Drosophila melanogaster: one gene and its partner. The gene in region 1 interacts genetically with each later gene. Each region holds a gene or a part of one and is shown in the gene's direction. Other genes may lie near its edges.

The links.
Region 2: of Prps (region 1) and Lip4, changing one suppresses a phenotype caused by changing the other (phenotypic suppression), as found in Drosophila melanogaster (one study listed by BioGRID).

What each region holds. Positions count from the first base shown.
Region 1 is NT_037436.4:9,690,764-9,703,706, reverse strand, and holds the start of Prps (phosphoribosyl pyrophosphate synthetase), read left to right. Parts: upstream 1-8,265; 5' UTR 8,266-8,474; coding exon 8,475-8,511; exon of another isoform or gene 8,512-8,664; intron 8,665-9,001; exon of another isoform or gene 9,002-9,248; coding exon 9,249-9,474; exon of another isoform or gene 9,475-9,886; intron 9,887-12,943. Other genes in the region: CG6761 (uncharacterized protein), read left to right, coding at 112-1,025, 1,077-2,016, 2,077-2,314, 2,368-2,593, 2,655-3,006; Ubc4 (ubiquitin conjugating enzyme 4), read right to left, coding at 3,978-4,361, 4,589-4,741, 4,952-5,014.
Region 2 is NT_033779.5:10,520,374-10,533,316, forward strand, and holds Lip4 (lipase 4), read left to right. Parts: upstream 1-7,198; 5' UTR 7,199-7,416; coding exon 7,417-7,483; intron 7,484-8,754; exon of another isoform or gene 8,755-9,163; coding exon of another isoform or gene 9,164-9,188; coding exon 9,189-9,376; intron 9,377-9,704; coding exon 9,705-9,882; intron 9,883-9,940; coding exon 9,941-10,302; intron 10,303-10,482; coding exon 10,483-11,034; 3' UTR 11,035-11,405; downstream 11,406-12,943. Other genes in the region: CG18301 (uncharacterized protein), read left to right, coding at 11,479-11,616, 11,962-12,139, 12,196-12,557, 12,613-12,943.

The sequences.
Region 1 (12,943 bases):
CCAGTTGCATTGTTTTTTCCGCTTTTCATTTTAGTAACTTCCTTGTTACTACGAGCAACGAAACAATCAATCAATAATGGCCAATATCCTTTGATTTTTGCATTGGCCAGGATGCAGAAATCCGGCTCCGACGAGGGAGCCTCGGCTGCTGGACAGCCGGAGGAGACACCAGCGGCTCCCTCCCAGAAATCCATTGATTCCGGCAATGGCGCCGAGTTTCAAATCACTTTGAACGAGTTTCTAGAGTTTCTAAAACTATCCTGTCATGTGAACGATATGATTACGAAAGCCGACATGGGAAAACCACACAATAGGGAGCCGATACCGCCGATGGAGGGCAGTGCGGTGTCAACCAAGAGAGCTACCAAGAAGGACGAGTTCGACTTTGCCGAACTGGCGGACAATCCACTGGTCAACGAGCTCCTGGGACTGCGACGACCCTCGAGGAGCTCCAACGAGAGTCGCTCTAGTTTGCTACAGGATGCGAAATCCAGTACATTGCGCTCGGGGCACAGCCACCACGGCCGCTCTTCCCGTCCAGAGTCGACCTATCGGGGATTGCATCCCAAGCTTGGCGAGCAACTGGATGCGGCCATTAATGAGGGAGTTCTGGACTCTGTTCTGTCCTTTATATGCCCGGTCCCAATGCCCACACAACTCCAGAATGGCAAAACTAAGCCCAAGCAGCTGCAGCCTCCGAAAGAGCTTCTCACCCAGACATCGGCCACTACCACTCCCTATACGAATCCCATTCCAGCGGCAGCTCCTCTCACCTCGGGAGCATCGAAATCCATGATGGAGATAGGCCACTCACATGGGCCTCTGCCGGCAGCCACTCCCTCGGCTCCTTGCCTGCAGCAGGCTCATCCCGGAGGAGATGCTCTACATTCGGATCAGATCACCAACAGCATGGTGCGGGCTATGATTAAGGAGCCGATTCCGAAGCCTGGTGCAATGAACGCCGGCAGACGCAAATCTCTGCTGCTGGTCAAGGATAGCAAACATGCCAGGCAGGAGCGAAAGGAGTAAGTACCATGTATTTACAGGATATATATGTAACTCAAATTGTTTAACAGGCCGGAAGTGGTGATCCACGTCTGCGACGAGGTGAAGAACACCTCGAAGGACTTCACCTGCCCGCAGCATTTGCTGGTGACCAAAATGGGTTACTTTGCGGACGTGACTGCCGGTCAGAGATTGGAGGAGATGGACATATCGGTGCACTGCGACATCCTTATCTTCGATTGGCTGATGAAGTGGATCAAGCACAGTGCCCAAAGCCAGGATCTTCCGGTTCCCACTCAGAGCACCGGTCCCCAGTTGGATGGCAACAATGTGGTGCCCATTCTGGTGTCGGCCAGCTTTCTGCAGATGGAACCTCTACTCCTTGAGTGTTTGGCCTTTTGTCATGCCCATCTCAGCGAAGTTGTACGAACATCCACGAATCTGTCCTGTCTGAATGATGCATTGGTCAGCCGACTGGCGGCCATGTTCACGAATCTCGAGCTGGAAATGGTCAGGGATAAAAAGGAGCGAGTGACACCACGTCTGTGGACCAAATTGATTCAGTCCCTCTGCGAACCGGATCCGGAAGCGCTAAGGGGACACTTCTACAGCATGTCCGGTCTGTTCCGTTGCTCCAGGTGCTTCAATTGCGTGACCAACACTATGAAATCCTATGTGAGCTGTGTGCCCAGCAACATTCGACTGAATCGCTGGGGCCAATTGATGAGCCACCACGTGCGGGACACGAACTGGGATCTTAATGTCTACATCGTTCAGCTCTTCAAGGAGCTCAAGTCTTGGCGCAAGGTGTACTGGAAGTTATGGGGTCACTGCCATTACCTGTACTGCTGCTCGTGCGAGGCTCATTTTCCGGTCTATCAGATGCACTGGTGTCGCTTCCATCCGGAGGCACCCAACTTCCTCGGTCCCGTGGGCAATGCTGGACCCGCCGGCCGCTTCTCCTGCTGCGGTCAGCAGGCATTCCGCTACGAAACGCTGCCGGGACCAAATGTATGTATATATATTTCCAGAAACTAATACTACTGCATTGAATATTCGTTACTTTTTTAGGGCTGCCAATTTCGCGAGCACAGTGTCCTGGTGGAGACGGATAGGGAGCGTGCCATCCTGGCCATTGCTCAGTTGGTGGGCGAGAACTACGCCTTGTGCGAGCAGCCACCATTGAGGATTCAGGAATTGGCCGCCGCCGGCGAGATCAGTCCCAGTTGGCAGGGTATCTCCCTAACGCCACAAAGATGTCGCCAGGGACTTTTGCCCCAACTCTGCATGGACAGTGTGCTCAAGAGAGGTGGGTATGTGTGCTTGAAGGTAATGTGCTCCGTACTCAACCCTGCTCCATAGTGACCAACCATCGTGTGAGCCGTCGGATGCGAGGATCTCGCTATCAAATGGACACCAGCACCGATTCGGAGACGACGTCCACCAGCGAGGATGATGCTCGATGCCTGCGGCCACGCATGCGTAACGTTCACGATGACGACGAGGACTACAGTACGAGTAGCGATGGCTGCGAGTCGGAGCATCGTCCTCCACCAAGGAAAACTAGAGGCAAAAAATCACGAAAGCGGTAAGGATTTTGAAATATTGAATGTATATGAAATAATAATTACCTGGAACTGTTTGGCCAGTCCCACCGATGTGTCGGGTCGTTTTTGGTCCGGCGAGTTGTCAGCGCGCAGCAACCAGGATCATCAGCGCGACTTCGAGGAGAAGATCATGAAACAGGTCGCCAATTATGTGACCAAAAAGACCGGAACGGATCAGTGTCTGGTGCAGAATGCCCAACCGCTTGGTGGCTCCTACGTGCGACTCGAGTCCGAATGGAAGGAGATGCTCAAGCAACGTCACAGCCATCACACGATCCAGGGAACCAATGCCACTGGCACATCCGTGGCTCAAAGCAACAGCAGCTGCCTGGGATCCGCACTTGCAACTGGTGGCTCCTCCGTGTCCGTCATGTCCAAGCAAAAGCACAAGTAGAAATTCGTATTATATGTGTGAAGTCATTAACTTATTGGATTCGCCAGCAAGCATCGTAGACCAAATATTTAGTGACAGATTATTAGTCAAATATTTAGTGCAAACCATAAATATTCACATTGAAATGTAGAAAAATTAAATGAATATGTAGAAGAATATATATATAAATGATTATATCTGGATGATATCGATGGGTTCTATTTTACTTTCACGTTTTGTGCAATTATTTGGTTTGTAAATCACCAAGAATTTGGATTTTATTTCAATTTTGGCATTAGACAGAGCCTTAAAAAATGGATTAAACAAGAATTATAGTAATATACATTACATATCTCAATCAATCTAGGGTAAATTACATTTTCCATTCTTCAGTCTAGGCATGATTTACAAAAATCTATTTTAAGTTTGCAGCCTCTTCTTCACAAACCGAAATCATAACTTCTCATTAGACATTTATTAATATTTTTATTTATTTATTTATTAACTTAACGCAATTTACAAAGACTTCGATTTGTTATACACTCCTCGCCTTCACATTTATTTTGTTTTGTAAATCATTTTTGTTTGTGTTTTAGTTTAAGCTTGAAATGGAAAACAACAGTACTGTTTAAGAAAGAGCCTGCAAGTAAATGCGACTGCACGTAAATTAATGAAACAGAACCTGGGTTCAATTACATAACACCACATGCTCAATGGGGCGCGGGCATGGCCTTTGGCTCAACCTTCTGGTGACCCACCCAGCGGCAAAGATGTGCACATTAATCATAATAAAATTATAGAACAGATCAGAGAATTATTATAACTACAGGGCAATGTAATTTCGTGGATAAGATTTACGAAAATATATTGGTGCGTGAGTGTACAAGAATTTAGCGTGATTGCCGTTCTGAAGGATTGATGCTGAAGTTGGCCGGTGTTCTTGGTGCTGCCACCGCCGCGAATGGTACTGATGCTAGTGCGGCTGGGACAAGCTAACTGAACAGGCCCTCGGTGGCCTTCTCCAAATTCCAATTCTCCTTGGAGAGCACGGCGCGCGCCTCATGCTCGTCGATGCCCATGTCCCTGAGACGTTGGATCTTTGAATCACAATCGGGAAAGGTGTGCGGTCCGCCCGCATACGCGTTGGTCCAGTGCTTGGCCGTAAGCAGGAACAGATCGTACTTGTCCTTAAACTGATAGGCCACCACTGCGTCCTGTGGATCGTCCGGCTCTGCGGCGGCCAGGAGCGCCTGCAGCGACAGCAGTACGGTGCGCAGTGTCATCGCTGCAGCCCAGTTGTCCTTTAAGATGTCCAAGCAAATCGCACCCGTAACCGACGATATATTCGGATGCCAGATGCGCGTTATGAAGCGTACCTGCGAAGAAGTTTGCAATTTATTTAGGTTTCAATTACAAGTTACAGGTTCTTATTGCGCCTTTCAGAATTCAAGTTAACATTGTGGATTCATAGAAGTGTCACTTTCTACGAAGTGAAGTCATAAGATACGATTTTTGAAAGATGAGGTGTACTCATGTAAGAGTTGTTTATTTCTAAGCTAGCATATTGTATAGGTGCACAAAGTCTGACATGGCTATTACGTACCTTTGGTGGATTGAAGGGATATGTCTCGGGCACCTTGATCTCCAGGACGAACTTGCCGCCCTCGTAGGGCGTGTCAGGCGGACCGGCGATCTCGCCGCGCAGCTCCGTCCAACTGTCATTGACCAGTTCGATTTTGATGGAACACTGGACGATCTGTTCAGGGATTACAAGCCAAATTAACAAATCAGTGGGGCCAATGTTTACATTTCACAAAGAAAACGGAGCCCATAAGCGCGCCAAAAACGCCACCAACGTTCGCGGACACCCTCCCCCGCCCCCTGCACCACGACCAGGGGCGGTGGTGCAGCTGGCATTGCCGAGGTGCCGTTTGAGTGTCCTTCGGCCTTGGAGCTCGGGACTCACCTCCTCGCTGCGCATCACCTCCTTGAACTCCCGCTTGATCCGCGACACTGCCATGTTCGCCATGATGTTTCCTCCGTTTCTCGGACTCTCCTTTCTGCTCTCTCCCTGTTCCCTGTTCACCGTTCTCCTTTCTCCGCCGCTCCTCTTCACCACGCTCTTCTTGCTGTGTTCTGTTCTGCCTCTGTTTTTATTGTTGCCCCCCCGTGCAATTTTGGATTTTGTGAGTGTTGTGCGTTGCGTAAATTACGCCTGGCTGTTGGCCTACAAGGTTGCTCCTTTCGATCGCTTTTCGAATTGTCGAAGCAACGAGCTCGACCAGCGCACGGAAAATAAAAAACTTATTATTCCAATTTCAACACGAATCTGACTTTTTACAGCGCTCAGCACGTCTATTTTGCCAGCGCTATTTCTTTTTTGTTTTTCCGTAGTGTGACCGCCGCGGTGCATTCGGATAATTCTGAAAGCTCGCCTATCGATTGACGTATCGATAGGGCTTCGGGGAAAGAGCGCGAAAATTGCTAACGAAGTTCGAATGTTCAAATGTTTAGCATATGAATAAATAACTATTACATAGGGACGTAATGAATTGGTGCTACTTGCTGCGAGCCATATATTGCCTAGATACGCCCTTAATACTACCCAGGTACACCCACTTCACTCAACTCATAACTATTTAATCATATTAAAACCTATTAAACATTTTAAGGAGGAGTCTTCTTCTTAACATTGGTCCTCCAATTATGTCCACTGGATGACATGATGACTTTGTTTCCCTGAAGGCGACATATCAGAATCTGGGAATCTTAACCGACACATTTTCCTAACTCGTTTCGATAATACAAATGAAAAGAAACAAAAGCAAAATCTACATAAAAATAACCATATTTACAAACTACTTTCCTAATAAATTCAGCTAAGCCCCATACACGAAGTACTCATTCTTACCTCTTTGTTGATAAAATCTATTTACGTTACAATGATTGGCTGAATCAATTCCAAAGTTGGTTTTTGTACCATTGGATAAAAAAGCCGCAGCTTTTCCTTGGCACACGTCAAAGGTTATTTTCCATTGCGTCTCTGATCTTGAATACTGAATACATGGCCTTATTATATAATCGAAGTTCTTTTGACCTCAGTAATATGGTTCCATTACGCTCGCCCGCCTTGTCTGCGGTCGGAAATTTGAAACTTGTTTTGCGCCCCATAAACAAAAACAAGAAGTTTAATCTTCTAAGGCGTAGGTCTCTCTTGGCAACAGTCCAAAAATAATAGACAGCCATTAATTATGCGCCATACGATCCTGTGTTTATAATGGTTATACTTGGAAAAGGGGTACACGAAGTGTTACTTTATTCACATTGCAATTTTAAATCAATATGAGAGAACTTTACCTAAAAAATTTTTAAGTGATAAACAATTAAGTGGATTACATTTTCAGCAAACTCTTATTAATAAGTTGAATGTTAACAAAATAAAAATATGATCAAAAAAATTAGAGGGCATATTTCATACCTGAAAAATCATTAAAGTCGACATTCTCTTTTACTGCTCAAATTCACGTTTCGCACAGCTCAATGGCGATCGAGAAAAAAACGTGTCAGCAAAAGCGTGTGGGGAAGTTTTGAGAGCCAACGCAACAACAGTTTTCGGATAAGAAATATACCCAATAGACATTCGGAGACTAATTAAAACGGAAGAGCTTCTTGCTTCTCCAACTCTTTGGACACACGTGTTTGTGCTCCCCTTTTGTGGCGCTCTTTCGCCACAAAACAAAACGAGTGACCGACACAAACAAATATGCCGGTTCTCTTTTACTCTCCCCGATATTCCCTTTCGAAGCATATGTATTATGACTGTGTGAAGAGGGATGCGTTTCCTACCCCATAAAATAACCAGATAACCAAAAGATACATTTATTGTCTTGTAACGTAAGGGTATCCATGCTTCAGCTTGATTAAATCAACTCTCCTCTGCGTTATCTCTTGCTCTCTCGCACCAAACAACTCCATAAACAGAAACTCAACTTCCCTCGCTTAAATTCAATTCAAAAGCGTTCTGATTCATTCAGCTTTTGCATTTTCTGAGCAGCGGCTGCATCCAAGTGAAATCACAAAGTACAAGTTTTTTTCGACCAACTTGTACAAACCGCATCGTTCAGTGATTAATAGTTTGTAGTTTAAAAGTAATTGCGACACTTTGCTACCTCACATGTTTCAAGTAAGTCCAGTATGGTGTACTACTCGATTTTGAAGTGTGCGTGCCTTTGTTTTCGCCTCGACTCAAAACATGCGTCGCATTCGGCACGTGGTTTTTGCCCCACCAACCCGCTATCCACGGCTCCATTATTCCTGTACTTGCAATGCCATTTGCGTCAGTTTTTAGGGATAAAACACGGAGAAGAGTACGTCAGCATTTGGCATTAGTTCATTTATATTTAGCCATGGGCACGAAAATAACAATTTAACAAATCGCAGTGTTTTTCTGCCGCGTTCGTTTGTTCAGCATCCCAGGTACAGTTGCACAAACAACAAGAAAACATCTCGGGGGCAACAAAAGCAAAGACGAGCCCCCGTGAAATGAAAAAGCAAGAACTGTACCTCGGATTTGAGATCTAGAAAACAAAACATTTCTGCTGGTATGTACAAAGTACATAGCAGAGATATTTGCAGAGCAACAATTATCCAGAACCAATTGAAAGCGGCATACAGCACAGATACACAGACAAAAAATAAATTTCTAAGTATGTGCACAAAAAGAGCCGCATGCATATAGGTTTTAAAAGTGGGAAACGCAGCATTAAATGTTTATTATTGTCTCAGATATTTAGGGTTTTTTTATGTTATTATGAATAGGAAAATATATTGACAGTCTTATGGGGCCTTGGAAATTTATTACCCATTGAAATATATATGAAACAATTTTATTGCATATCTGTGTGTTATTAAGAAATTACTGAGTTGTGCAGATGTAATGAAACTAAGCCGCAATTTTGTCTTACTTTAGAAATGAGGTCTGTGATTATTTTATAAAAAAAATTAATACTTATTATTGAAATTTTCGCTCTGTGTGACGTTTTACATATCTAAAATTGCAACATGACGTATTAAAAATTCTATGGAAATTACCTATCGAAAACAGCTGATTCCGAAAAAGAGAGGAAAAGTGCGTCCCGAAAGCTTTTCCTTGTGGCATCAACTTAACTGCGCATCATCCCATCCTTGGCGCTCTCTTGCGCTCTCTCGTAAAATATGGGTGTGTGTGTGTGTGGGCAGCCGGTGCGTATGTGTAATAGAAGCATACGCCATGTTGTACGGCGCTCAGTTCCATTCGCTCGCTCAATTTCGCCAGATGCGGCGCTCTGCGGCTGCTAATCCCAATCTCCCATTGTCGCTGAAACAGTGCACTTTTCACCTTACCTGGCGCAGAACAGCTGAGTGCGTCTTGTTATTAAACGGGTTGTTCAATCAAATAGTCGGCGCTTACCTGTCGCAGAACCTTCATCTCGGGATTTGTTTTGTGAATAATGCCCGATAAGAAATGCACGGAGAACGAGCAGAATGGTGCGTAGATTATATCCTAGAATTCACATTCCTTTCATTTCTGTCCGCGTGTGTGTGTGTGGTGCTAGGTTTTCATGGCCAACTGAGGGACATCCGTGGAACAGCTGTTTACCTCAGCCTTAAAAGCTTTTTTTTTGGCGCGCGCCTGTTGGCATGCCAGCATATTTTATATGTTAAAAGAAAACTCATAGATTTTACGGGTGTGACAACAAGCTGTTTATCTATCGAATATAATCAGTGTCAATTTGCAATTTATATTTATTCTTTTTCATGTTCATATGTAAATTTAATAGCAAACCGAGCCAAAATATTATAAATATAAAATTATTTGCAATGAAATAGGTAAATCCTTGCTTTTTGAAAGGCTAATATTGTAATAGTGCAATCCCATTAACTTGTTTAGATTTATACTGAGAAACACACTAGGAAATTCGAATTGATTAATGAAAATATTTAAAATTATAAAAACCTATCGCACCGCTTTAGTAGTCCGGAATCGAAATCGATAGCTTTCCAGTTCCCTGGAGAACGCGTAGAAAAATCACATGGTCTGGATGGGAATGGGGGATAATTGGGGTGGCTTTACAGAAAGAGCGAGCGAAAGAGAGCGCAGTGCGCAGCAAAAAGCTTCGTTGCTCTCTTTTACGCTCTTGCTTTCTCACCGATAAGGCGACGACGTCGACGTCGCTGCCCGCGTTTTGGCGAAAAAAATTTATAATAAAAACTTCTACTCATAGATTGTGTGATGCCAGTTCGCTCTGCTAATCCGATACGCGCTAGAAGTTTGATCCGAGACAATTTGGAGAAACAGGCTGGTTGTCTAAATTTAATCCACTCCAGAATGCCGAACATCAAAGTGTTTTCGGGCACCTCGCATCCGGATTTGGCCCAGCGGATAGTCGATCGCCTGGGAATCGATCTCGGCAAGGTGGTTACGAAGAAGTTCAGCAACTTGGAGACCTGGTGAGTAGTCCTGCAGGAGAATTTCCTTCGCAAATTGCGTGTGTGACCACCAACAAGTGTTTAACGACAACGGACAAATGTGTTTTTAAAGTGCGCTAATTGAGTTTGACGAAAAAGTGTTTGGTCTGCAAACACATGTGCTCAAAAGGTCCTTGACATTCGCTGAAGGTTGCTGGCGTTTCGCTGCCACAATCAACAATGGGAATCTATGGGAATTTGTGATTACCTAAAACTGAATGATTTTTCCTGAATTTTTGTGGCCTGCCTTTGGCTTGATTTCTTTTTATTTTTATTGATTTAACAAGTGGACTGTACACCGTCTTTGTCGCTATAGCCGTGCGTCTGTGTGTTTGTGTGTGTTTAGTGGCGTTGTGCTGGTATGAGTGAGAGTAACACACACACCAACATACACGTGAAGCTTGGCCAATGTCGCGTGCAATTTTCACAAAATTTAAATTAAATTTTTTTAAATCTTCCTAGACAAGAAATGCAAAGAAACCGAAAATGATTTTTATTATATATTTTTAATTAAATTAGCAGCTGTGTGTGCGTGTGTGTGTATGTCTAAACTTGCGGCTTGCACGCTTTTTGCTTCCCTCTCTCTCGCACGCACTCACACAGGCGCAAAACCAGCCAGTCAGCTGCTGATGCAACAACAACAATAAATAACAAATAAAGGCGCCCATAGTTTTTACCCCACCCACTAGCAAGCACCCTTTTCAGTTTATTTGGTGTCAACTTTCCATCGGTTTTTTCCAATTTTAATAAAATTAAACAAAAGCCCCATAAGCAAACAATTAGAGGAGGTGAAAAGGTGAAAGAAACAAACGAGGCAAACGGAAGAAAACCGAAACGAAAATAGAGGTTATAATACGCGCTAAGCTTTCTGACATGATACGCGCTCCGTCGGTGTGCGTGTGTTTTTGTTATGCTCGCACTCACTCGCACGCACACCAAGGTACGCGGCAGCGGAAAGAACTAAAGGCGGAGCAGAGTCGAGGCTAGGATGCCCTGTTCCAGGTGTTATGCTGTACAAGGTAATAGGAGTCGTGTCAACTTACAATTGTTTACAGTCTGATTTCTTATAGCTTGATATTTTATGATCCTAAGAACCAATTGAAGAAAGTACGACGTTCGACGAATAAATCGTAATAAATATTTTGTGAAAAAAGTTTCTTGGTTATAGAGTTAGACATAGTCTTATCTCTAAAAATGCATTATTTTCCAGGTTCCAGTTTTTAACTTTCTAATAATTCTTTACCATTACCGAAAGTTGAGACCCAATTTGGCTTACTCGCTTTTATAGTCGACATACCCGACTAAAGGAGGGTACCAAATGCCTGCGAGTAGAGAACCACAACATGACTCTGTCACGTTTTTCATTTGCTGACTGAACGGAGAGTAAGAGAACGCTCTCTTAGGGTGAGAGCGAAAGGGGAGCTTGAGCGCCACACAAGAGTCGGCATACGTTGCAACGTCGACTGCGGCAGCGACGCCCCCGCATGGTGGGCATTTGGACTCTCTTTGGAGCCCATTCTCCCGCTCTCTCTCTCTTGCTCTCAGACTAAGTGTCAGACCCCCACGTGTGCATAGTGGTTGTTGCTCCACTGTTGTTGTTGCTACAATATTTCTGTTTGCACTTGTCGGCTTTGTTTTTGTTGTTTATCCCATTCTATCACTCTCTGGCATTCTCTAGAAGCAGCGGTCAGAAAATCATGTTGACCGTTAAATGCGCTCTTTTTGCTCCAATTTACACTAGGTGTTGTTGTTATTGTTGCGGCTGGTGTAACGGTTGAACTTTTGCTTTTATATTTTTCATACTTTGTCTTGATTACTTTTGTTGATAATAGCGAACGCACGGCGTTGATGATAATGATTCTGTTGTTGTATTTCTACTCGCTATTGTTGTTGTGTTTGGTGGGGCGACAGGGCTAGAGATCAAGTTTTTAGTCTAGATTATGCTCAATTGAAGGGCGCCAAGATGACATCGCGAAATTTTAAACGAATGAGAGGTAATATTAAGACTGACACCAATTTCTTTTTGCCTAATTCGCTGATAATGGAAGATATGAGCATAACAAGAGAAGAGAGAAATAGAGAAAAATACCATTTAAGAACTATAAAAACTGGCGATACCCCTTTGTTTGGGTCACACGTGATTGTTCTTTATTTTTAACTTATCACTTCGCAAGCTTAATAAGAGTTTTTTTATTTATTAGTAATGCTGTATAATAATTTTATTGCAACCCTCAAACAATTAAGTAATCAATACAGAGGTCATAAAATGTACAAGTATCTAATGTTTTTTATGGCCGCCAACTAAGAAAACCCCCAAACGACCTTCGCCACAGGCCAAGAACAATTTCAGTGGCAGTTCATAATAATTTTTCAATAACCCCAAAGTGAGGCTCTAATTTCCAATTTCGAAGGTTTTGCCACACGCAATTCTAAACTGTTCTATACACCACCCCCTCCCTTGAACCCAACCAACCACCCACTGAAAATGTCAATTACTAAGCGTTTTTTTTTTGTTTTCCATTTTCGACTCTAAAGTTTGATCGATAAGGAATTTGCGTGCTTGTCTTGTGAGGTCGTTGTCGTATCAGCGAGCTTTTGAAAGGAAGGGGCCCGAGTTAATAGTGATAAGGAGCGTATAAATCAAGTGGAACCAACAGAAACTAAGCGAAAGCGATTTAGATTCCGCCCAGACTGAGATAAGCTTAGTGGGAGACAATTGGCAACAGTTTTTTGTACCTACAGTACGGCTTCTATATATAGCACGATATATTTCCTTAATAGTAAACTAAACTACCTTTTTAGAATACATGATCTTTGAAACAAAGTAATTAATCTAGATAGGTCCAGGTTTTCAATTTTATAACATGGCTTTAAATTTGATTATGTTTAATCTACGAAATCCGTACGATAAGCGAATAATAAAAGCGAAAAAGAATGTTCTAATCAAACATTTAGGAAAATAAACAAAATCCAAAAAAGTGTGAAACTGGTGATTTCAATTAGAGAAGTACGACTGTTTTTCGTTTTCATGCTTTATTTATTTTTTTTTTTTGTATTTTTCGTTTTACATTTCGACTCACATGAGTCTGTCGTCTGACTTGCGGACGAGGAAAGAGATAAAAATACGTAAAAAACAAAGGAAAACGAAATGAATTCTGGCTGAAATTCTATTTGACGGTCGGCCAAAGAAACAGCTGCTGGCTGAACTGTTGCTAGTAGTTGTTGGCAATGCGGCGGTTTTTCTGGCCCATTGCCAACTGTCTTGCCCAGCACACCTTTTTTCCACCATCCCCCACACACCCTCCCTTCGATTTTTCCCAAGATTTCCCGGCATGCTAACAATGTCACGGCGGCTAGCGGTGAAAGTGTTTTCCTACAGCCCCGGCAATCTATTCAAAAATGCATGATTTAATGCCAAAATGCATCCGGCCAAGGTTGATGAAACCGCTGC
Region 2 (12,943 bases), on another chromosome or scaffold:
AAAGCACGAGACCTCTAAAAACGTTGTTAGCTCGCCAATTTGTATATTTTATACGCCCATAAATGTAAAAAATCCTTATAAACCATCCAGACCATATAAAAACGTTCCCAAAGTTGGTCTGTCTGGCCTCCAATCCCATACCCATTCCTCTGATGAAACCAAGCAACCCCCGGAATCATTTGCACTGCGCCCCAAAAACCAAAGGCCAACATCAAAAAATGTGCCAAGTCAGCGAAGGGAATGGAAATTTAGCGAGTGCCCCCCCAAAAAAAACCCTACTTCCACATAAAGTCCACGTTGGTGGGGAGGGGGAGTGGGACAGTAAAAACTCCATTAACTGTCATCAAAAATGCATTTCGCATGCATCAAACCGAAAATGGTAATGGCCAGGGTATCATCAAATAGAATAGAATGAAATGGCGCAAATCAAAACACATTGGCATAAATCAAAGGGACGGACAAAAACAAAAAAAAAAAAAAAATGAAACTGGCGAACCACTTTTATGGCTAATCCTCGAAGGAGGCCAGAGATGACTCCCCTGGCAACATTTTTATGCGCAAATTAACTTTGCAATTGCCGGGTGTTTTTTTTTTTGGGGGGGCAACTCCAGGGTGAATCTGGGGTGGATAGTCTGGATGTCACTCCCCCTGCATTACATAAAATTTATCCCCAATTTGCGTGCAGCGGGTAAACATTTTATTTGACTCGTCTGGCGCTCTGCTGCTCCACTTTGGCTTATCAAATTTTATTAGCAGGCCGGCAAATTGTGCAACAACAAAGTAGCAACACCACATTACGGCCCAAATAATCCGTGGAGCCACAAGCCACCCCAAGTGCAGGCCTCCAGTTCTTCGACCTTCTCTCAAGGTATGATTTGTCGCCGGCTATCAATTTCTTTAACACAATACCAACATCCCCCATGGAAAGCTGGAAAAGCGGCCGGAAAAGTGCAAACACACGCGAAACTGTTGGCGACCCCCTCGATTTCCTCGGTTTTCCCCCCTCACTCTTCTTTTTGGGGGCGCGTGCAGGGATCTAATAAAAACGTTTTCATAGGCTTATGACCGCCTTCCATGAGCCAAAGACTCCCATTCCTGCACTCCCTGTATATTTGTCTTAATAATATTTCAAATTTACCCGCTAACTGTTACAGCAAATTTAGATAAGACCCACAGAAAATCAATAAGCTCACTCGTAGAATTTTCGGAAGAGGGTTGGAAAAAGTTGACTTACCTTGTGGAGAGACTGAAGGAATGCCTATAGACTGGGATCTTAAGTTACTGGACAAAATGGGTAGGAAAATGAATAAATGATATAGGACAAGTTGTTAGCTGAAAGTTAAACGTCTGCATTTTAAGAACGAAAAGTTGGTTAATACGAACTACTTTTTAAAAGTAAAAGTATGTACTTTTAAGCAAGCAAGCAAAACATCGGAAAAGTGCAGAGAAAAGGGAAAACCTTGTTTTTTACATTCATATATATCTGAAATCAGTTAAGAAATCCAATCTTTTCCAATGCGAAGGCCTCTCGGATTGGGGTTATCATTTGCCTTGCATTTTCCATATTTACGATACCAGAAAAAATTAATCAGAGTGGGCAATCCTTGAATATGGAATCGAAAGTCACTGAGGCGCGCACTTATGTTGGCAAATCGACCCCCGACGAATCCCCAACCCCTCGGATTCGGCATCTCGTAGAGAATTCCGCTTCCATCTAACCCGCAGCCCAAAGACGGAATCAATCGCAAAAAAATAAATAAAAAAAAACTGACCAATCCGCGCAGTGTTAGATGGGAAAAATCAAATGCTAGACAAACAGCAAGGAATGGGGGGAAAATCAATTTTCAATTTAAAATTTAGATGCTCATCCCCTCGATTCCATTCGGCTTGCCATAAAAGATAAAGATGAAATGCGTTCGAGCGCAAAATGTAAATAGAACTCTCGTTTAACCGAAACTCAGGCAGGCGAATGAATGCCACAGGTTGTATTTGTGTTTGTCTTTGTGCTCCACTGAATAGTTGGGTGGTTTGGCAGTGGGCGGTGGGCAGTGGGCGGGGGGTGGCACTGCGTGTTGGCCACACGAAGCGATTTCAAAGCAAAATATTGCCGCATAAATCTGACGCAAAAAGTTTTGCTTTGCGGTCAGCAGAGGCGGGCTCTCCGCTAGGGTATTCCGGAAGTCGAAAGGGTAGATTAGGCCATTTTAAATCTAAGATCTATGAAAATCTATATATTATGATAAAATATAATAATACAAATGTTTCCTTATCACCTAGATAAGAACATAATAATATAATAATGTATACTCCTATTTGCATGTTTTAATTTATTATTTAAAATAACTTACTCAGTACATTTTTACACTTGATTGGCCAATTTACAGCATATTGGGTATCCTACAGTCGAGTCTAGTTCCTTGACCATCGAATTGAACTCAAGTTGGCAGATATTTCCCTTTGATTTTTATCGTGCGGTGAGTTTTTTTTTTTACGAGCTCTTAGGCAGCTCGGTTCGTCTGTGGTCCTTATTGTTGTGCCCGCTCCGGAGTTGATTATTTGCCCAGTTTTCCGGAGGGGAATGGGAATGGAAATGGCGGAGCGTGCATTTCATTAGCCGAATGTATCTCGCAGATACTGTATCGCACAGATACCGCATCATCTGTAGCTGGGCGCTTTGGCATTTGGCGTTTGGCAAACGATTTTATGCCGCACCGCTTCGACAAACAAAATCAAATCTGTGACTAGGAAATTGCTTTTGCCTACTTCCGCCGACTCCTTTTCTGCCATCCGAAATATTTGTTTAATGCAACTATTTAGGGAGCGTTTTCATTTCGAATTGCTCCCTTGTGCAAACAGCGGCCGGGAGAGATGAGATGATTAAAATTTAACAACATCAAATATTTGCAGCCGTCTTTGATGGTCTAGTAAAATGTTTAATAATAATATTAAATGCATAATTCATTTTGCAGCCCCGCCTAATAGGAGTTCGTTAAATTTTAATGCACTCGCCTTCATGTCTTCGGGCCAACGTAAATGTTAAATATCAGCAGCAGTTAAGTGCGGCAAAATGGCAGGGGAAGTCAACTTTATTGCAAGGTTCCTGCGAAAATTAATTCATTAGCATTTTATTACATTGGCATAGTGACGACAGCAGCAGCCCCGAGTTCTTGGTGCCCGGTTTCCGGTTCCTGGTTCCTGGTTCCCGGTAATGATGACGTACCTCGTTCTATATAGCCATTGATTGCCAACTACCACCCATCGTTGCTCCGTGATCTTCTGCGCCACTTTGATGTGTAATTAAATCAATAATCACTTTGCAGTCGCCGTCGGCGGAGGGAAGTTTATTAGTTGATTGAACCAGCAGGTGGCACAGTTGGATGCGATGAGGTTGTCTGCGCAGTGAACTTACTGTCAACTAAAACTTAATATTTTAGCGATTTATAGAGGCAAATGAAAGTCAAAAATCAAAATTTTATATAACAGAAGAGAGAGATAACTATTAAATTCATAAAAGTCGCCTACATGAAATGCAAACTGAAAAATGCTTCGAGAAAACATGAGAAAGAATGAAAATACTTATACTTTATACTTTATGGAAAGAAAAAAATAGACCGCGTCAACGAATTTTCCATTTAATGCCCAATTAACGCATTTTCCACTTGGGATTCACCGAAGCGAGAGATTTGTATACCTTTAACGGCAAAAGGCTGAAAAACAAAACGCAAACAGGAATCGTGAACGTGCCACAAAGCAGAAAAGGCCACCGAGTCGACGGAGTTCCAGATCCCGGTATCCCGGACTTTCCCACTCCTCCGGATTTTCTGGGTTCTGGGTTCCCTGAGCACTCCGGTTGCTCCACCACAAATGGGCATTTGTCGCTTGGTTGCAATTGCAAGCTGAATGGAAAAAAAAAAATGAAGAAGGAAGTGGGCCCGGTGGCGAAAACAGGAGCTGCACTTCATTAAAAAAGGATGCTGGGGCAGAGGCAACTTGGTCGTTAGGAAACTCCCGACTTACAATCACAAACACAAGCACTTCGGCAAGGACGACAGGCGCACAGGCTGCTTCGAAATGAGTGATGTAATGTGCCTAACAAGGATCTCCCTGCCAGCCTCCTTCCTCCTCCTGCCTTCCTCCTTTCCTCCCTCCACTTCCACTTGCTCATTGTTGCTTGTTGACATAACGAATGCCTTAACATTTTTCGAGTTGCCTTCACTTCACCGCGCCTCTACCCCGCCCCCTCGCAGTACGACCCCTATGTGTGTGTGTGTGTGTGTGTGTGTGTGGGGTTCACTTCCGCTCCACTTACACATAACTCGCCTCTGCCGACGTCGCTGCCGCTGCGCATCTGGAGATGGGCATTACGTGTAGTACAATAATATTAATAATAATATAGTAAAACAGTGCAACCAAATCTCATTAACATTCAATTAACATTAACACAGATCTTGCAACAGTCTCCTATTAGAAGCCAATTTCAAAATCATTTTAAAAAGAGCTTGAAAGTATTTAAAATAACTTATACCATAACATATTTTAGTGATAATTATTTTCTTAATATAACTATATCACATGTTTTAGGACCTGGAGAATAAATTAGTTTAATAAATCAGATGGTATAGGACTAATATCTTTTGGACACAGAATACATCAGATAGAAGAGCATGAACATTCTTAAGATAGGTGATATTTATATATTTAGGGATAAATACCATATTGATCATTGTCAAAAATCGGAAAATCCCTTATAATGATATAATGATATATTGATATGTGTGCCATCTCTAGCTGCTCGGTTGACGTCGGCGGTTTGTCGAGTTAATGACTTTGGCAGCTGGAGCAGCGGCAGTGGATGATGGGTGATGGGTGATGTTTGGGCCTGTCAGCGGCCCTGAGGCGTGCAGAAATCATTTTTCCTCGCACATTTTTATAAATCACCCTGCCGCCTCTCAGTGGCCAAACAATCGTCAAAAATTTATTTACATTTTTCATTTCTCACATTTGCAGCGGCAGCCAGCAGAATTGCCTATAATTTCCAGTGTAGGACTGATGCTGATCCCTCAAGGTGTCGCTGAGCAGGATGGATTGGAAAAGCGGAAAATTCCGACGTGTGTGTAGGGTGCCTGCAGTTGACAGTTAATTATTTGTATAAATCGCTGCAGATGTTGCGGCCAATGAAGGGTTAAGCTCAGACGCATTGAATTAAATGTATTTGAATTGAATTCTACGTGTGCAAATGTGCGAAAAAATTGGATACAAAATGTAATTGAAATTTTTCTATAATTAATTTGGTGCCTTTAAGGCTTAAATATAAGAAATATATATTTAAATTTCAAGCTAGTTGCTTGAACAAGAACCATTCTCATTTTAATTTCTTGCTCGGCATGAAAATACATTTCTATTTAAAGGTAATATATCAAGCCCCCTTCTTTTGCCGCCAATCGAACGGGTATCGCATTACAGGATAAGGATAAGGATTGTTCCTGTTGCTCTTTGTTCTGTTATCCTTGAGCCAGACTTCGCTTATCCTGCGCCTGCTATTGCCTTTTCAGCCGCTTATCAGGGCCCTGCAACTTGAAAACAATAAATATTTTATGGTCCCTTTTTGGCGAGCGCATAAATCTCATTCTGGAAATTGATCCGAGCAACGAGCTGAGTACTACGAACTGCGTACGTGTTTCGGAGGGTTAGCACTAAGGTGCAGATACAAAAAGATACAGATACATTTGCCACATTGACACACTGAGCACTTACACAGGCTCAGCCTGGCACTCGGGCATTTGCGAAATTTGTCTTCTGACGAGGGAATTCCCCATCATATCCTTCGTACCCATTTCCCTCCCCCATTTCCAGGGATCCCAAAACACCCGCATCCTATGAGATTTGCACATTGATTTCGCTCCCTTTCGATGCGAAGTGTTTAGTAGGTCGCAGTTTCAATGATTCAACAGATTTCTTGTGTGTGCTTTTCTGGTACTTCAGGGGGCTCTTTTGAAGTTAAAGTATTTAGCATTTTGGCAAAGGAATTCAACTTGTTGCCACTGGCAAAGTAAAAGTCCTATTAATACAATTTACGCCCAAGAAATGGCATTTTTAAGAACCACTTAAGTATTTGCTAAGAAAACATTTAAGTAATTTAAGATTCGATTCTTATAAATCGTAATTAACAAATGTAAACTCTTTATAATCTATTTATTATATATTTTCTACGATGTTGCTTGCAAATAAGCAAACTTAATTCCTGACCCATTTAATGAAACATTTATTCTCTTATCGCATTAGGTTTTTCACAAATATTTAGATAGACATTATCTGCACTTACTATTTCTGCTGTCTCATGTTCACATAGTTTTTGAATAATATTTGTGATTGGATTTCAATTGATTCTCTCAGTTTCTATGCCAACTTTTGTGCCCTCCTCTTTGGGAACTAATAAAAGTTTGACTGTAACTTTTTAAGTCAATCGGTGTCAGTTTGTGGCAGTGAAAATCGTTTGCGGCTTGTGGTGAGTAATTCAAATGCCCAAGCGGAAAATTAATGTGCCCAAAAATACCACGAATTTGAGGGCTTCGCAGGGGAATTTCAATATTTGCAACCAGAAAATTTGAATCGTACAGTGGATAATTTGAAACTTGACTTTAAAAGTCACTGAATTGGTCAATTTCTCGATTAGTGATGGCAGCATGTTGCCAGCTGCGAAATGTTGCCGAAACAAAACGAGTTTTGAGTCGAAAATAGCTTTTCATATGATAATGCAGTTTGTAGCTGACATTGCAAATGTCCGATTGTTGGTGAGTTCAAAGGGCGGGATGGGGGCGATAATAACATGCATAAATTTATACATTTATGCTCAGCAGTCCATTTAATGAACTGCGCATTGTTCGCTCTGATTTGCATAGCAAGTAAGTGCGTAGCTGTCGCCGCAAAATGTAGCTGTATCTGCGTATGTACACTGAGAAAAATCAAAGCAAAAAGGTAAGAATAGTTATGGTTACTTTTATGTAAATATTGAAAATATTTCAATATAAGTTTGTAATTATGAATCATTTAGTTTCGTTTTGTATTTCGTTATTTACCAAAATATACAAATAAATTAAGACAATTTTCTGCGAGTGCATGTAATACTGCCACTGTGTGCGAGTGCGTGTTTATTTGCTCGTTAAATGCAGAATGAGCTACACTTAGTAATTGAATAACACTCGGCTCTACTTAACTCAACTCCCACAAATGGTCAGCGAGATAAGCGGACAGCCTATATTCCATATTTTCGACCAATTCATCTCTATCACAGCATTTGTGTTTACCTCTAGCAAATACGAAATTTCCAAAATTAATTTCAATTCGTGTGTCCGATTTGGATTCGGTGGTTATCGTGCCCTTGCCACGCCCTCAGCAAAAGTGCGATAAAATTTATGAATGTGTATAAATAGCAAAAATAACACTCATATTCACCCGTCTGGCGTCGTTGATTGCACTTTGATCGGTAAATAATTAATAAGTAATCGTCTGTATTTTTTTTTTGCCAGCAGTTTGCGTATGAGCAACTTGTTGACCAAAAACTTTGGGTTCACTATGAGGAAGGTTATTATTGAACGACAAGTATGAAAAATTCAAAGCACAAAAGGTATAATATTTTCGAAAAAGTGTGCACTAATTTGAATAATTTAACTAGCTGCCGTGCTAATTTAAATATTTATAATTTAAAGAAGCTCATCGAAATTTTCAAAGTGTGGACTTTTATATTCAACTAACAAGATTCAACTATTTTAACCCACAAAAAATAAGATTTGATATTGATTGTTTATATTTACAATCTCATGAATAATGTGCAAGCTTTTTTAAGATATAAAAGTAGATTTTTTGGCTATTTGTTAAATTAATTTTGATTTATTTATTAAGGCAGCATGCTTATTTGAAGACAGTTCTGTTGCTTAAACTTATTTTGCAATTACGGCGAAAGACCTTCATTAGAAATCACTTAATCCGCTTGATTTTAAATCCATTACGAAGAAACAAATTCTGCAATAAATTTAATTTGATTTACGCAAAAGCACTTACGTTTTTAATTTAAGCTAAAGGAGACATAAACTAATTTGACGAGTGACCCATTAATAACATGCCCATTAAAACATTTATTTATTAGTTCTAGTTCAGGCTTGAAATCTTAATTTACAATAAAGATTTACTTGATGTACAGGTTAATTTAATAAACTAATATAATACTAATGAAATCAAAAAAAATTAAGAATGCTGGAGATCAAGGAAAGTGGTAATGAATTTTCCAACTCAAGTAAAGTATTCAAAGGTCTGCTAAGCTAGATGAATAGTTTAATTGGTGGTATTTATTTATAGTCTCGGGAATGGACTTTGCCTGATTAGTTCAAAATCCGTGCTAATCTTCACAGAATTTATGTTTTGAAGATTACAACTTGAGGTCAGAAAATGATACTACATAGTTTTAGTTGATTTGCATGCATCTGGAAAATGAGCCAGCAATGAATCACAGTTTTCACAACGCGTGGTTGTAATTAATAATATTTCACATTTTTTCTCTTTCCGGCTGAGCAGAGCAACAACCAGTTGTTATTATTTTTTTTTTTCATGCGGAGAGTTAAGTTGGGCGAATCAATTGGCCTGGCAACATGTTGAATTGTTTGTTTACCCGCCGAGCGAATGTTGCCAAGGTGGATCCCCTTGGGTTGTGTGGAATCAAAATCGAAATCAAAATCGGTATAACGACAAAACATCTTCTTCAGTTGCCGCTGGGGGCCGGCGGCTTTGACATCTCGTGCGTAAGTGATTCCAAAGTCAAGACCATTGCGAGCCGGACCCACGGCTTATCATCGATTGGCCAGTGACGAAGGCAGTCAGGTTATCGGTGGGTTGAATGTAGCTATAACACTGTGCCCCAGTGATTCAATTCCCTCGAAAGTATTGTACGAGAAGTGCTGATTATTTCGAAAATACATATGTCGTGTGGGCAAGTGTCGAATTTCTCGCGTTCACAGAAGGTTTCTTTGTTGCCGTCAATCGGGACTGCCATCAGTCAACAATTGTGCCTCGCACCGATCGCATCCGCCGAGCCATAGATCCCATATATCTATTGTATTATAATAGTAGTACGAGTGTAACCGCTGAGATTAGTCGTAAAATCGGTGAAATAATGTCGGTGAAATTGCTAATTGTAGCGCTTAGTTTGTGCCTCCTGCAGTCGGGCATCGTCGAGGGTATATCATTATCACTCGGAGATATAACCCTCTTTAATGTTAACTTCAAAACACCAACTTTTTTGGGAAGATCCGTGGCGGTGGATAGCAATGTGCGGTTGGAGAACGATGTGGATCCCAATATTCAGGAGGATTCACACTTGAATACCGTAAGTTAATACCCATAGTCGGAAAAAGTTAACGCCAATAAAAGATCTAGTAGTAATAGTACATATTTGCTGCTAAAATGTGTTAATGTATACGTTTAAAAGTTAGTCAGATGTTGTCATCGCTTTATTTTTACGATATTACGTTTGTATAGGAAGCTTTTTGATTTTCGTACCTCTCCCTAATAATTAAGAAAAGTAATTACATTATTGAAAATTGACATATCAATTTAATCGTTAAATTAACGATTACGCTGATAGAAACTTACACTTAGAAAATTTGTTGTTCTTAGTACAATTGTAATAACCTCGTCTCTTTTCCCTTCTGCAGTACAGTCTGATAAAAAAGTACGGCTACCCGGCGGAGAATCACACCTTGGAGACGGATGATGGATACATCCTCACCTTGCACAGGATCGCTAGACCGGGAGCAACGCCAGTGCTTCTGGTGCACGGACTACTGGATAGCTCAGCCACTTGGGTGATGATGGGACCGAACAAGGGACTTGGTAAGATCATAGGCTATCTCCAAATGTCCCATGCTGATTGCGTTGCTCTGTTCCAAAGGTTACCTGCTCTACGATCAGGGGTACGATGTCTGGATGGCCAATGTTCGTGGCAATACGTACTCGAGAAAGCATGTTAAGTATAGCACCCACCATGCCAAGTTCTGGGACTTTACATTCCACGAGATGGGAAAGCATGATATACCCGCCACAATGGACTACATCCTCAATTCCACGGGCGTAAGCCAATTGCACTACATTGGTCACTCCCAGGGAACCGTTGTGTTCTGGATCATGGCCAGCGAGAAGCCCGAGTATATGGACAAGATCATTCTGATGCAGGGATTGGCACCGGTGGCATTCCTCAAGCACTGCCGCAGTCCGGTGGTCAACTTCCTGGCCGAGTGGCATCTATCGGTGAGCGTAAGTTACCCCATCCTAATTATCCCATCCTTTCAAAGAGCGTTTTTGCAGTGGAATACATCCAAATTTAATGTAAATTTAATCATTGTTTATTATAAACACGATCCAGTGCAAAACATCTTTCTCCTTCTCTTCTCATTCAATTTGTTCATGTTAACTTATATTATTTTAATATTTTAGTTGGTCCTCAAGCTGATTGGCGTTCACGAGTTTTTGCCTAAGAATGAGTTCATCAGCATGTTCAACCGGATCATCTGCGACGAGACCACTATTACGAAAGAGATTTGTTCAAACGTCATCTTCCTGACCACCGGATTCGACAAGCTCCAGCTGAACGAGACTATGCTGCCGGTAATCGTGGGTCATTCTCCGGCCGGAGCCTCCACCAAGCAGATGCAGCATTTTGGACAGCTCAACAGATCTGGCGGTTTCCGGCAGTATGATCACGGATGGCTCAGAAACCACTGGATCTACGGAACCATTGACCCGCCATCCTACCACCTGGAGAATGTTCGGGCCAAGGTGGCACTATATTATGGCCAAAACGATTGGCTGGCTCCGCCGGAGGATGTGGAAATGCTGAACCGCAAGCTGCCCAATGTCGTGGAGAAATATCTGGTGGACGACAAGGAGTTCAACCACTTGGATTTCATTTGGGGCATCGATGCCCGGGAACTTTTGTGGGATCGAATGCTGGAAATAATGCGAAATCATGAGAATTCAATTATCTAAAGGGGAATAGAACTATGGTTATAATTTAGTTATTCACAGTATATTATTATTAGTTAGGTATTTATTGTTTAGTAGAAACTAAGACGATTTACAACAATTTTACAACGATAAAAGCCAATAAAAACAACTTACAATTAATACATTTTTAATATTAATTCCCATCTTTTCTATTCCTATTTTTTGATATGAAAATTAGTATATATCTTTTAATTCGATTTTGCTAAGCAACAAACTTTTTGCTTAAGTTACATGAATGATATTTATTTCCGAAAGTATTTAAGTTGAGACCCAAGCGGTAAATGTAAATTTTATTCATAGGTTAAAGTGTTGCACTTTTATTGCCTACGTACAATCTTTTTTAGTATCCCAAAATTTTACTTGCTTCAGTTTCCACTTGGAACTTGTATACATCGGATTAGTAAAGTTTGTCTCTAATAAAGTCAGATGTCTCTATCATCGTCTTCGAAATTTCTTATATGGACCTTCTTTTTGGGCCTATTCCAGCTGGAAGCCAATGCATTTTTCAATCCTTTTCAACTGGCTATACCTTCATCAGTTTTAGAAGATGCACACTTGAATACGGTAAGTTCAAAAATCATTCGGGTTCCAACGATTAGTAACATTTGGAATAAAGCATAGGAAGTTTATCCAGATCTAAAAATCTAGATTAATATAGTGCATTATATTTCGACTTATAAAACATCTGTAGATATAGACACAATTTGTGTGAGTGTAAGTACATATATAGCTTTCTAGGTTATAGCTCTTACTATAAAGGTCGGATTACTCGCTGATTGGTCATAGTTTTATAATCTCATGTATTCTAAATACTACGTACACTCAATACTACGTACACTCAAAGTATTTAAGGGCAAATCTCTAGCGAATAGTTATATTAAGCCGTGTTTGTTTCTCCTGTTTTTGCAGATACAATTGATTTCCAAATATGGATACCCGGCGGAGAATTACACAGTGCAGAGTGACGATGGCTACTTATTGGGACTCTTCAGGATCGCACGTCCTGGAGCCCTGCCTGTGCTGCTGGTCCACGGACTAATGGACAGTTCCGATACCTGGGTGATGATGGGTCCTTCCAGTTCCTTAGGTACAATCGAATTTCATTCGTTTTTTAAGTGCACTCAGAATGATTTTCTTCCAAAGGATACATGTTGTACGAGCAGGGCTACGACGTCTGGATGGCCAATGTGCGGGGTAATACCTATACGAAACGCCATGTTCGTTACTCCGCCGAAGACTCCGATTTCTGGAACTTTTCGTTCCATGAGATGGGCATTTTCGATCTGCCTGCCATCATTGATTACATACTGATGCAATCTGGATTCGGTCAGTTGCACTACATTGGTCACTCCCAGGGATCAACTATCTTCTGGATTTTGGCCAGCGAAAGACCAGAGTACATGGAAAAGATCGTTATGATGCAGGCATTGGCTCCAGTGGCCTTCCTGTCCCATTGCCGTAGTCCCATTGTGAATTTGTTGGCCTCTCAGGATACTGCAGTTGCCGTACGTTTAAGATTTGTTTACACTTTTATACATTTTAACTAATATCTGGTTTTAGTCCTTCCTAAGCGCGGCTGGCTACAATGAGTTCCTGCCCAGCAACAGTGTGATTGATCAGTTCAAGCGTTATGCCTGCCGGGATATCATTTCCAGCAGTGTCTGTCAGAGTCTCTTCTTTATTCTTTTCGGTTTCAATGGCCAGCAAGTGAACCAAACGATGTTGCCGATCGTAGTGGGTCACACTCCGGCCGGTGCATCCATCAGGCAGATGCACCACTACGGCCAGCTGAGGAACTCTGGGAAATTCCAGCAGTTTGACTACGGACTGTTGAACTTCCTGCATTATGGCAGCCTGTCCCCACCGCCTTATGAACTGGAGAAAGTCAAGG